Drosophila melanogaster: one gene and its partner. The protein of the gene in region 2 interacts with the protein of the main gene of each other region in a pairwise test. Each region holds a gene or a part of one and is shown on either strand. Other genes may lie near its edges. The genes, in order: alphaTub84D and ND-39.

Evidence for each region.
Region 1: the proteins of ND-39 (region 2) and alphaTub84D interact in a two-hybrid assay, tested with the Drosophila melanogaster proteins (one large-scale study listed by BioGRID).

What each region holds. Positions count from the first base shown.
Region 1 is NT_033777.3:7,528,895-7,533,503, reverse strand, and holds alphaTub84D (alpha-Tubulin at 84D), read right to left. Parts: upstream 2,752-4,609; 5' UTR 2,246-2,751; coding exon 893-2,245; 3' UTR 772-892; downstream 1-771. Other genes in the region: Rtnl2, read left to right, coding at 3,710-4,184, 4,257-4,549. UniProt on the Drosophila melanogaster protein: Tubulin is the major constituent of microtubules, a cylinder consisting of laterally associated linear protofilaments composed of alpha- and beta-tubulin heterodimers.
Region 2 is NT_037436.4:20,489,851-20,497,591, forward strand, and holds ND-39 (NADH dehydrogenase (ubiquinone) 39 kDa subunit), read left to right. Parts: upstream 1-2,231; 5' UTR 2,232-2,364; intron 2,365-3,391; exon of another isoform or gene 3,392-3,640; intron 3,641-4,812; exon of another isoform or gene 4,813-5,071; intron 5,072-5,496; exon of another isoform or gene 5,497-5,501; 5' UTR 5,502-5,629; coding exon 5,630-5,669; intron 5,670-5,774; coding exon 5,775-6,225; intron 6,226-6,307; coding exon 6,308-6,673; intron 6,674-6,741; coding exon 6,742-7,135; 3' UTR 7,136-7,234; downstream 7,235-7,741.

The DNA of each region.
Region 1 (4,609 bases), on a different chromosome or scaffold from region 2:
AAATTGTTTTGTATACCTAGGTGAATCGATCTTACCTTGGTAAGATTTCCTTTATCATTTTTAACAGGAAATATGAAATTGCATGTCTTTAGGAATTCGGAATTTTAAATTTTGCTTTTATATCCTTATACCTCTTAAAGAAGAAATAATTATTCTCGCTACACGTCGAAAAATCTAAATCAAACTCTATTGAGGATATAAATTTGTCTTCATTAGGATCACTAGCGAGATCTCAAGAATTATTAAGGCTGGAAATTTATTTCTATTGGTTTTTTTTTTTATGAATCTTCGCTTAGTAAATAGAAATGAATGAAAATATGGATAGATCTCTGTTCAATTTTATTGGCTGAATTCTATGCAGCAAAGAAAAACTTTATATTATTTGGACACCCTAGATGATTGGAGAATGATATGGAAAGCTGGATCCATCGACTTGCATACGTGGATTTCTAGTTTTAGTTTCTAGCCTGGTAAAACCTTACCGTTTAGCCAGGTAGAGCGTTCTCTAATCTTACTGTATACAGGTGTTGAAATCCTAGATAAGACACCTTTATGATGTTCGGTTTCCTGTGGACTGTTAAATTATAAATAACCTATGTTAATAGAGGACATTAACCAACCAACAAAATAAAAATGAAGCAAATTAATAATATACAGATGTACCCCACGTGAACAACTTTTTAATGCATGACTTTTGGTCATATATAAAATTAAAGTTAATTTTAAAGTACTAACTTTCTCGTGCCTTTTACTAAACGTGGTTAATAAATTGGTGTTTTCTTGGGTTTTTATTTTCTTCTTTGTTCGCTATACATTATCGCAGAAAATTTATACATGCGAGTGGGAGCGTATGAAAATAAGCAAGATTTTGAGGGATGCACACCTATCCGCTCTAGTACTCCTCAGCACCCTCGCCCTCACCGTCACCGGAATCCATGCCGACCTCCTCGTAGTCCTTCTCGAGGGCAGCCAGATCCTCACGGGCCTCGGAGAACTCGCCCTCCTCCATGCCCTCACCAACATACCAGTGGACGAAGGCCCTCTTGGCGTACATCAGATCGAACTTGTGGTCCAGACGGGCCCAGGCCTCGGCAATAGCCGTGGTATTGGACAACATGCACACGGCACGCTGCACCTTGGCCAGATCCCCGCCTGGGACGACAGTGGGTGGCTGGTAGTTGATGCCCACCTTGAAGCCGGTGGGGCACCAGTCCACGAACTGAATGGTACGCTTTGTCTTGATGGTGGCGATGGCGGCGTTCACGTCCTTGGGCACCACATCGCCGCGATACAGCATGCAGCAGGCCATGTACTTGCCGTGACGGGGATCCACCTTGACCATCTGGTTGGCTGGCTCGAAGCAGGCGTTGGTGATCTCGGCCACCGACAGCTGCTCGTGGTAGGCCTTCTCGGCGGAGATGACGGGAGCGTACGTCACCAGCGGGAAGTGGATGCGGGGGTAAGGAACCAGGTTGGTCTGGAACTCGGTGAGGTCCACATTTAGGGCTCCATCGAATCGCAGAGAGGCGGTGATCGAGGACACTATTTGGCCGATTAAACGATTCAGGTTAGTGTAAGTGGGTCGTTCGATGTCCAGGTTTCGGCGACAGATGTCGTAGATGGCCTCGTTGTCCACCATAAAGGCGCAGTCGGAGTGCTCGAGGGTGGTGTGCGTGGTTAGGATGGAGTTGTAGGGCTCCACCACGGCGGTGGACACCTGCGGAGCTGGGTACACGGCGAACTCCAGCTTGGACTTCTTGCCGTAGTCCACGGAGAGACGCTCCATCAGCAGCGAGGTGAAGCCGGAGCCGGTACCTCCACCGAACGAGTGGAAGATGAGGAAGCCCTGCAGACCGGTGCATTGATCGGCCAGCTTGCGGATCCTGTCCAGCACCAGGTCGACGATCTCCTTGCCAATGGTGTAGTGGCCACGGGCGTAGTTGTTGGCCGCATCCTCCTTACCGGTGATCAGTTGCTCGGGGTGGAACAGCTGACGGTAGGTTCCAGTACGGACCTCGTCGACCACAGTGGGCTCCAGATCCACGAACACGGCGCGAGGCACGTGCTTGCCAGCTCCAGTCTCGCTGAAGAAGGTGTTAAACGAGTCATCACCTCCGCCTACGGTCTTGTCGGAGGGCATCTGGCCATCGGGCTGGATGCCGTGCTCCAGGCAATAGAGCTCCCAGCAGGCATTTCCAATCTGGACTCCGGCCTGGCCCACGTGGATAGAGATACATTCGCGCATATTGATTTTTAATGGGGTTTCCGATTCCGGGTTTCTTGTTTCGAGTTTCGGTTTCTCACACGCGACTACGGAAAATCAACGGAAAAAGTGTAAGCCTACGGATTTTGGGGTCTGACTCTGCGGGCGTATACGTTGGAATGCCCGGGAATGGATTTCGAACAGACGTAAATCGCCAGTAGCTCTGTTTTACGAAAAAGGGCTTCACAACAACTCAGATATTAGATTAGATATTAGATAACTATCTATATTATACGAAACGCGTTTCTTTTACCAATCGATTTTGCTCTGGGGGCACGAAAAACCCTGTCAGGCCGCTTTTTGGTTTGTTTGTTTGAATTCGGCTTTAGTTTCACGCTGATTTTTACACAACATTGCTAGCTCTTGGCCAATAATTGATTACCATCGGCAAGAGTGTTCAGATGCGGCTAAATGGCGGTATTTACGAGATTTAAAGATCAGTAAAATTATTTAGCACAAGCACGCTTGTTCAGTAGATTAAGTGTGACCGCCGGTGGGAAATTTAAAGATACCAAACAGTTCAATAATACCAATGCCTTGTATAAGTGAACTGCATATTAACACAATTAATAATGCCTATTTCAAGAGAGCGTCAAATTACTAATGTTCCGTTTAAGTAATTTTACATGTGTTTAGAACATCTACTATTACTATTTACCAAAATGAACAAAGTATGTAAACCGAATAGTGCATTTTTGCATTAAGTCAGTAGGTCATAGTGAACAAAATAAATTGAAATAGAGATAAAAGAAGTAAGTAATTTTTTTATGTTCATATATTTTTAAAGAATGGAGCAACCCGTCCGTAAACACAACGAACTCTTTTGACCCGCTTGGTATATTTTTAAGGCAGTAATTTCCGAGAGCAGTACAGTACTGCGCAGTTATCGATCCATTTTGCGCACTTATCGATTAATTGCGCGCGAAATGAGTATGCTTTGAAATAATCCACAGATGTATTTCTTTATATTGGGACCAGTCTGTGCTATTCGTGTCAAAAGGCTAACATTTTTTGGAATCTGCTACTATTTTGTGTATTATTCATATTTTCATACAATTGAAGATTTTCTGAAGATGCGTAAGTAAAAACTACTATTTAAACCCGCTAGTTAGCTAAAAAAAAAGGATGAATAATGTGCGCAAAGCATTCGGTATTAGCTAGGTAAATGTAGTAAAATTTAAAAAAATATTTTTTAGAATATCTTCGCTTTCTTCATTTTGAGAAATACAATGTCGAGAAACTTTTCAAATTTAACTGTGAACTGAATTGAAGCAAGACACAAACATTGTGGTGAATCGAAATACATTCCGACCTGACAATTTGAAATCATTTTAGTTTGTCTATTCGGTTGACCTTTGAAATATTAGTCAGCTGTGAAAACTTAAAACATTATTTGCTCTGATCTCACAACCAGCATCCGAACGTGCTCTAAAGACATTCGAAAATATGAGTACCGATACTTTGATAAAGGCTAAGGACTCCAGCCAAATATTTATGGATCTGAAGAACCTGTTGTTATGGCGCAATAGCCGAAAGACTTTGATCGTCTTCACGGGCATCCTGCTCCTCCTGCTGGATGTGATGGTCCACTCGGTGATCAGTGTGATAAGCATGGTAGGGATCACAGTTCTCATAGCAGCTATTGGCCATCGCCTTTTGGTACAGTTCTGGAGTATCTGGAAGAAGGATGAGAACAAAGATCAGATCTTACGTTTCTATCCTCACCCGAAGATAGAAATCCCCCGGGAGGAGACTCTTTATCTGGCCGGGAAAGCAGTTTCCCATATTAATTTAATTTTAAACCGTATGATAGAATTGTTGCTGGTGGAAAAGTGGGAGGATTCCTTGAAGTTCCTAGTTTTGCTCTGCGGCATCAATTTGCTGGGCGATTGCTTCAACGGATTGACTTTGCTTATATTTGGTATGTGCATATGTTGTCTTACTTTACTTTATCTATAAAGTTACATTAAATTGAAATAATTTTTCTTTATAGGACACTTGTTTATTTTTACCGTACCAAAACTGTACGAGTCGTATAAGCCATTCGTTGATGTCCAGATCCGAAAGTTCCGTAAATGCAAGATAGATAAATCGAACGTTGAAAAACCGATTTGTATTCAGAAAGAGTGTCCGCCGGAGTCAGCATACGAGGGTCAGGAATCCAAAGAGGGCAAAGTACTATATGAGCCATGCGATAATGAGCCACTTCGAAATCTCCTAGAGCTCCACAAAGGATGTCGTTGTCCTGATTGCGAGCACCGGTATTTGCCAGTTGAGGCTCGCTAAACTATATTCATATGAATAAGAATCCACCCTCTTTGATGTTATTGTTCAAAATTAATGTTG
Region 2 (7,741 bases):
AGCAGGTAGCAACAAACTATTTGGATGAGTGGATGAGGCCATAGACATCTGTTTGATTAAATGGATTCTGTGTACTCGTGTATCTTCCAGTTGTTCCACTAAATGTTCATTTCCTCAATTTGATTTCGTTTTCATTCGAAATCCGAAATGGATGGGTAGTGGGTGGCAGGAGGCAATGTTATATAGGCTCGAACAAAAGATAACACAAGATAAGCAGAGCTACAGATACAGATACAGATAAAGATACTGATTCGTGTGAAGCCTCAGGTCGCTCATTGTTGCTGTAGTTGCTAGGGGATAATGAAGATAACGAAGTGATCCTCCCGATAAAATGTGGTGTGATATGAGTGGCATGTGGATGAGAACTGACGGTTCCCAAAGACTACCAAAAAAAAAGCAAAGATGTCAAGGCAGGTCTAAAAGCTGAAATTAGGCTTAGCTTTTCATTTACAATTTTGTATACCCATTACTCGTAGAGCAGGAGGGTATACTAGACACCCAGGAAAATTTTAGAGTAATAATAGGGTAATGCAAGGTCAACAGACTTAATGCCATTTTTTGGGGTAAAAGATTTAATGTACACTTGTTTTCGAAACCGATTAAAAAAAAAAGAAAAAGTTGGCATATCACGCTAGATTGAATAAAGTAATTGCTCGTATTTATTGGATTTGTATATTTAGCGAATTTTTTTTTTTCAAATTTAATGCTTACTGGTGGTAAACTGTTTAAATAAAGAAAATTAATATGCAACATATCGGTATTGTTATTGATATCGCCGCTAAACCTTTGATTTAACATCACTCGAAATATTTATTGAAGTGAAAACAGAAGCAATCGGCAAGTAAAATGAACAACTTATAACGTGTAATTAAATTTATATATAAATTTCTTTTAGTTTGTATGTTAACTAGCTATTTAATTGCGAATAAGTCCAATGTTCAATTGAATGTCCGTCCGTCCGTCTGACCGTACATATTTTTTTAAAGATATTTGTAAAAAGTTGAGACAAGGCATGCATCCCGACATCTGAGTAACAGGTATCTGGTTATTTTATAGATGCTATGTATAGTTAAACAACTATTTTACAAAAATGAAATTGCTCACAGATTAGTATTGCGAGAAATCTTTTTACTTTCGAGAATTCAATTGCAAAATTTTAAGGTTTTTATGGAATGTTTTTTCACCCCTTTTGTCATAATTATTTGATTACCCTCGAATCCGGACCTTCTCAGATGGCGTAAAGTCCAGATCGTAAATCTGAGCCAAGAGTTGACAGCTCAATTGCCAATTAGACCAATGCAACAGCTCACTCCATTAATTGAAAAAATAAACAAAAAGTGAAGCGTGCAGTAAAATTCGGGACCAATAACATTTGCTTTTTGTTTTGATTTGCCATCATCAGGTTTCAGGTGCATTAATTCTGTTTGCTTGTTTAATTTTTTGCTTCTTTCGGACCATTGCCTGCATACAAATGAAGTTTGGCAACAAACAGCATTTGTTGCCTATTGGTTTTTGCGTAGATTTTAAACTGAATTACAAAAATACTTCCTATACGGGTCCCTGGCCTGTTTTCAAAACAACCAGCAGCTAAAATCTAACAATTTTGACCATTTCGGACACGATGACAAGGTTGCCGATGCCTTTGGAATTTCTAATTCGCAAGGGAACGGTGTTATTTAAAAATTCTATCAATATTGTTATTGTCTATCAGTGGGCCACAGACAACGTGTGCTGCCAATATTTTATTACTTTGTTGCCCATGAGGCGCATTTGAACATTTCGAACGCGCCAAAATCGGACTCCTGATAAGCAGATAGAGATAGTTGTCTACCGACCCTATCGCTATCTCACCCCAGGTGATTAAGTGGTAAGTGGACAGGTCTGACTGATAAGAGCGATTTGGAAAACAATATCGAAAACAACTCGGCTTTCAGTGGGTTAAAATGCCATCACTAGTCGAGGGATTGATTCGATGGGGAATGTTGATGTTGCCACCGGTAAATGTTGCCAAGTGGAAATTAATATTTTTAGGGGGGCTCTCTTATAATATGGGATGTAAATATGACTTATTTAGGTAATACAGCCTTAAAATCATAGGTACATTATAAATATAAGATGTAAGATAAGAGTTAATAAAGATGGAACAACTAGGCGAAAGTAAGTATGCAGATTTTAAGTTATTCCATATTAGTAAGTAGTAGGCTATAAGTTAAATTGCATTGCACTCGGCTAAATTTTCCGTACTAATTGTGTGTTCTATAAAAATCCAGCTTGTATCTTACTGCTTTTTAGCCCATAATCATAAAAGTGAAACCCAATCCACGTTTTTTTTCGCGAATTCACAACCCTGACCACCTGTACATAGTAAGTGATGAAGCACACGATTCAATGAAATATTCCCATTATAATAAACAAAGAAGTGTAAATATTTTAATTACGATTTTATGCACCACCATCTACGTGCAATCTGCACCTATATACATAAGTATATATCTATATATGTACATATGTATGCTTTCCCTGCATCCTCATCGAAAACGTGATCAGTTGGGGTCCGAGAGATTTTTTGATGATTTACAAAAACCCATTAAAATAATACGAAGTTTGATATTAATGCTGATTACTAAAGACCCACTTCAATTACACTTAATGACTCGAAATTACAAAACGACAAATCTAATTGAATTAAATTTATAAACATACAATGCGGTTGCAGTGATAGAAGTAATAAATACAATAATAGCTTTCTATGTAAGAGATTAAAATATAATAATTTTTCTTTTAATATAAATGTAAAATTTTTGGATCTCACGCTACTCTTTAGATTAATAATTTGAGTTGGCTAATATAACCGTGCAACCAAAAATGCATTATTAACTCAATCGCAAACAAATTAGTTTGTTTATTATTTCATAGAGTAATTGTTTATAATATTTTGGAACTGGAAACACGGCCGAGCTGGGTTCTTCAGAACTTGAGCCAAGGCCCGGGATTAATTTCCATTGAATTAGCTAAGGGTGAGAATTTGTTTTTAGCTTAATCTCGATGCGACTGGCAGGTGGATCGTAGACAGATATAACCGTTAATTAGCATTAATTTCGATCGAACTTATTTTTATACACCGCAGAAGTAATACATATTTCGGGCAATATTTTTTCACATCGGTGCCAAGAGGCGCGAGGCGTCTTAATAATCACTTGCTAAATGGATCTACAATCTGCCCGCTAACGAATCAGTCATCTATATACAATCTGCGAGTATCCAAAACTGCGCGCATTAGGGCGTATTTTTCCGATTCCTGGGCCCAGATACAAAGCCGAATTTCGCATACGGCCGAAAAGCCCTTATCAGTCTAGACCCCTAATACTGTGGCTAAGAACTGGAGAATTACCGTCTTTTGGACTCTGATAAGCGAAAAAAGGCCTGCGTTCGCTTTACGTTTTCTAATTATAACCGCGGCAGCGTAAATTGCTTTGGAAAATGTAGCTTTTCCTATTTTATTGTTATTATTATTATTATTATTATTCACACACACGCACGTTAGCGATTTAAAATATTTCGAGGCACACGCGCTAATTTTTTCGGGAGCGAATCATTCAGATCGTTGTTAACTGCAGCGCGGCTCAAACACGAATGATCGCAAAAGACGACGAGAAATATACATATGGCAAAATAAACGGAAAACCCGAAGCACCATGCCGAACTATAAGTACTCTTTTAATTGAAATTCGAAATGTTATAATACTAGTAAAGCTATGTTCTACAAAAACAAGAAGATTTCCTCATTATAATTCTGAGCATTCATAATTGAATTAAAATTAATTTTAATTTTTTCACTAGAACGGATATGTTCCAAGAGTAGTTAATTTATTTATTTATTTACTTTTGAGTTACTCTTCGTAAGGGTATTAAAGGCAAAGAGAGATGGTCGAATAGGAGCAACAACAACACCAATAACCACGGCCGGCAAAACAAACGAAAAGCCCGCAAATTTAAAGGGTGGGGAGCAGAGATAAGGAAGAGAGAGGTAGAAAGCAACAGTGATAGTATTTGTGTGGGCGAAAAAGTGCGTGAGCAGGTTGAAAAAAAATCAGCTGATTGCATGTGAGCTATTAAAGAGAGCGAAATGAGAGCAGAAAAAGGAGAGTGAAATTTATACATATGTTGCTTGTTTATGCCTGTCAAATGTAGGTATGTTTGTATTGTCGTTATCTAGGTAGGTTTATGAGACAACAACAATGCCATAATAAATATTATAAATACATATTTACATATGAAGCTATGGTAATCTCTATAGAATTACATCCTCAATTGTCAAAAGCAGTGATCTGTGCAGATATTTAACTTATCAAACGCACAACTGAAGTCAACAAACAAAAAACAATGTGTTTTATTATAACAATAATATAAACAATGTGTTTTATTATTTATTTTTAGACAGGGTGATTCAATAGAAATATCTGACACGAAATTTACTCTTTATACACAAATACGTACATATATATGTATAAGAACGCGTTTGACACACTGACAAATGTTTATAATTTTTTGTATATCCTGACCCACTGCATGTGTATAATGTAATGTTACAATACCAGAAATATTTTTGTATCGAAGGAGGTTATTCATGACAGTCGCATTCGCCTGAAATCCCATTATCTTAACCAATCTAAAAACAAATTACTAACTTATATACCCTCGGTACTAATTAGTTTACCCAAGCTGTTACATTCAAACCAAATTAGCTAGTGGTCCGCACTTTATAACCGCAAAAATGTGTATCCATTATGAACAGTTTCACCACAAGCTCACTTTTATTTCACTGCTTATCGGTGTTTTTGGTCCGTAGAAATAGTTAATCCTTAGTTGGCCGATTTCGAACAGATAACACTAAGTTTTCCCGATGCTCTCGGTTTTACAGCTCGAAGGCGACTGCTAACTGAATTCTTTGTCCGTAGAACCCAAGCCGTGCCGAATTAAACGATCCGCGGGCTGGAAATTGCAATTAAGCCACGCACATTAGATAAAAAGTTTGCGGTGTGACAAGCAAGGCAGTTACTTTTCAACTGGGACACGGTTAGCTTATGTCTTATTTGCCAACAAATATTTATAAACTAGTGCCAAGCAAGAAGAGTGGTTTATATGACGGTTTAATTACCGCTAAGAGGCTAAGATATCCCCAAGGTTGTCAAAGTAATTATGAGGTAAAATTATTAGTGCCACCTAAATAGTATGAATAATTCGAGATCATAGTAGTTATAACCGTAGTAGCATTTACCGATATTTGATAATCAGATAATTAAAATATGTTTGGTATGCAATGGCCACGAACACGGTCTATTGGTTATGAGGTCAATTATTTACATATTTAGGGTTAACTTTAGGTTAACAGGGCTTTTTAAAAACTATAGAAAAAACTGTTACTTTCCAAATCAAATGTTTTTCTTCAGTCTGGCAGCTTTGTTTGACGGTAGTTTTTGATATCAACCTGTCAATTCTAGTATATTCCAATTGCTACGCCACGGTCACACTGTCGTGGGGCAAAATAAAAAACTGGCCTGTTCCGAAATAAAATAGGATTTTAAGCGTAAATTAACCGAATCGAGTTGGTCCAGTGTGCCGGTGCGAAATGGCCGCCATAGTACTAACCCGTAATCTCCAGCTGGCCAGTGAGTACCGTGCCTGCGGTCGAAAACCGCCAGGCAATCCAATTATGTAATACGATGTTTGTGGCTAACTTTTGGCTCATTCTCTGTCCAATTCCGGATACTTAGAGCACCACGGCAGTGGCGTGGTTGGAGTTTTGTGCCTGCGTGGATATTCCGCCGCTGCTGCGCCGCCGGAAGATGGTCCACGTCCACTGAAGACCACCAATCCGGCTGCCATGAAGCGCGGAACTGGCGGACGTAGCAGTTTCAATGGGATCGTGGCGACCGTTTTCGGTGCCACCGGTTTCGTGGGCCGCTATGTCTGCAACAAACTGGGCAAATCTGGCACCCAGATGATCCTGCCCTATCGCGGTGACGATTCGGATGTTATCCGTCTTAAGGTCACCGGTGATCTTGGCCAGGTACTCTTTCACTTCTACAACCTGGAGGATCCCGCCTCCATTCGTGACGCAGTCAAGCACTCGAACGTGGTCATCAACCTGGTGGGCAGGGACTTCGAGACCAAGAACTTCAAGTTCAAGGATGTCCATGTCAACGGAGCGGAGAGGATCGCTAGGTGAACATCATAGCCAGCATTATTTGCCTGCCCACTTCTTCATTCTAACTTTGCATGACGTAAACCACTTTTATTTCTTCAGGATTGCGCGCGAGGCTGGCGTGGAGCGCTTAATCCACCTGTCCTCTTTGAACGTGGAGGCCAATCCCAAGGATCTGTACGTCAAGGGCGGCAGCGAGTGGCTGAAAAGCAAGTACGAGGGTGAGCTTCGCGTACGCGACGCCTTTCCCAACGCCACGATCATCCGCCCTGCGGATATCTACGGATCCGAGGATCGCTTCTTGCGCTACTACGCCCACATCTGGCGCCGTCAGTTCCGCTCGATGCCGCTGTGGCACAAGGGAGAGAAGACCGTCAAGCAGCCCGTCTACGTTTCGGACGTGGCCCAGGCCATCATCAACGCCGCCAAGGATCCGGACAGCGCTGGCCGCATCTACCAGGCTGTGGGGTAAGTCAATCTCCGAGTCCAAGTATTTGTACCATGTACATTTTCTTAATTTCCTTTATTCTCTGCAGACCTAAACGCTATCAGTTGAGCGAGCTGGTCGACTGGTTCCACCGCCTGATGCGCAAGGACCAGAAGCGCTGGGGCTACATGCGCTACGACATGCGCTGGGACCCCACCTTCCTGCTGAAAGCCAAGCTGAACAGCTTCATCTGCCCCGGCACCCCGATTGGCGGTCTGCATCCCGCTCGCATCGAACGCGAGGCTGTCACCGACAAGGTTCTGACTGGTGTCCCCACGCTTGAGGATTTGGGCGTCACGCTGACCACAATGGAGCAGCAGGTGCCATGGGAGCTGCGTCCCTACCGCGCCGCCCTCTACTACGACGCCGAGCTGGGCGAGTTCGAGACTCCCTCGCCGCCCAAGTGCATCGAGGCGCGCGATGAACTGCGTCTGTTTGCCTAAGCGGAGCGAAGTAGCTGTCTGTGTTGATTGGAAATTTTTAGTTGGAATTGTTTAAGGCGATGCGTCAATAAAGAGAAGTCGAAAGACCCAATGACAACGAAGGAAACTTATATTTCCAAATATTATATAGACATTGATATATGTATTTATTTCGTGCATTTAAATATAAAAAAATTTATAAATACTTTTGAAAAAAAAGTCAAATGGCTAGAAAAGTTTGATGTCGGAAAAAAGATTGGCAGCTCGAAATACCTTTGGTATTTTTCGGTATCTTATTGAGGTGACATCGCTCCGGCAACTAAATCAAAACAAATGAAATCGCTGTCATCGTCTGGCAACGCTTCGCCCGTCCGATTTTTCTTCCTTTGCGACCAGGAGCTTTTCTGCAGCAGTTTCCTCCGAAACTTACGCCCGTGCAGATTTATGGCCGGAAAATCATAGTACGGAAAATTCGATTTCCCAAGTTTTCTGAGTCTGTGTGTGTGTGTGTTTTTGGTGTGTGTAAAGATTTTCAACTTTTCAGCTTGGTTAAGCGGTGAAAAAAGAATATATCAACAACAACACAAGCGCGCGCCCGCCTCTCTTTTCGCGTTTTTGTGCGTGTGA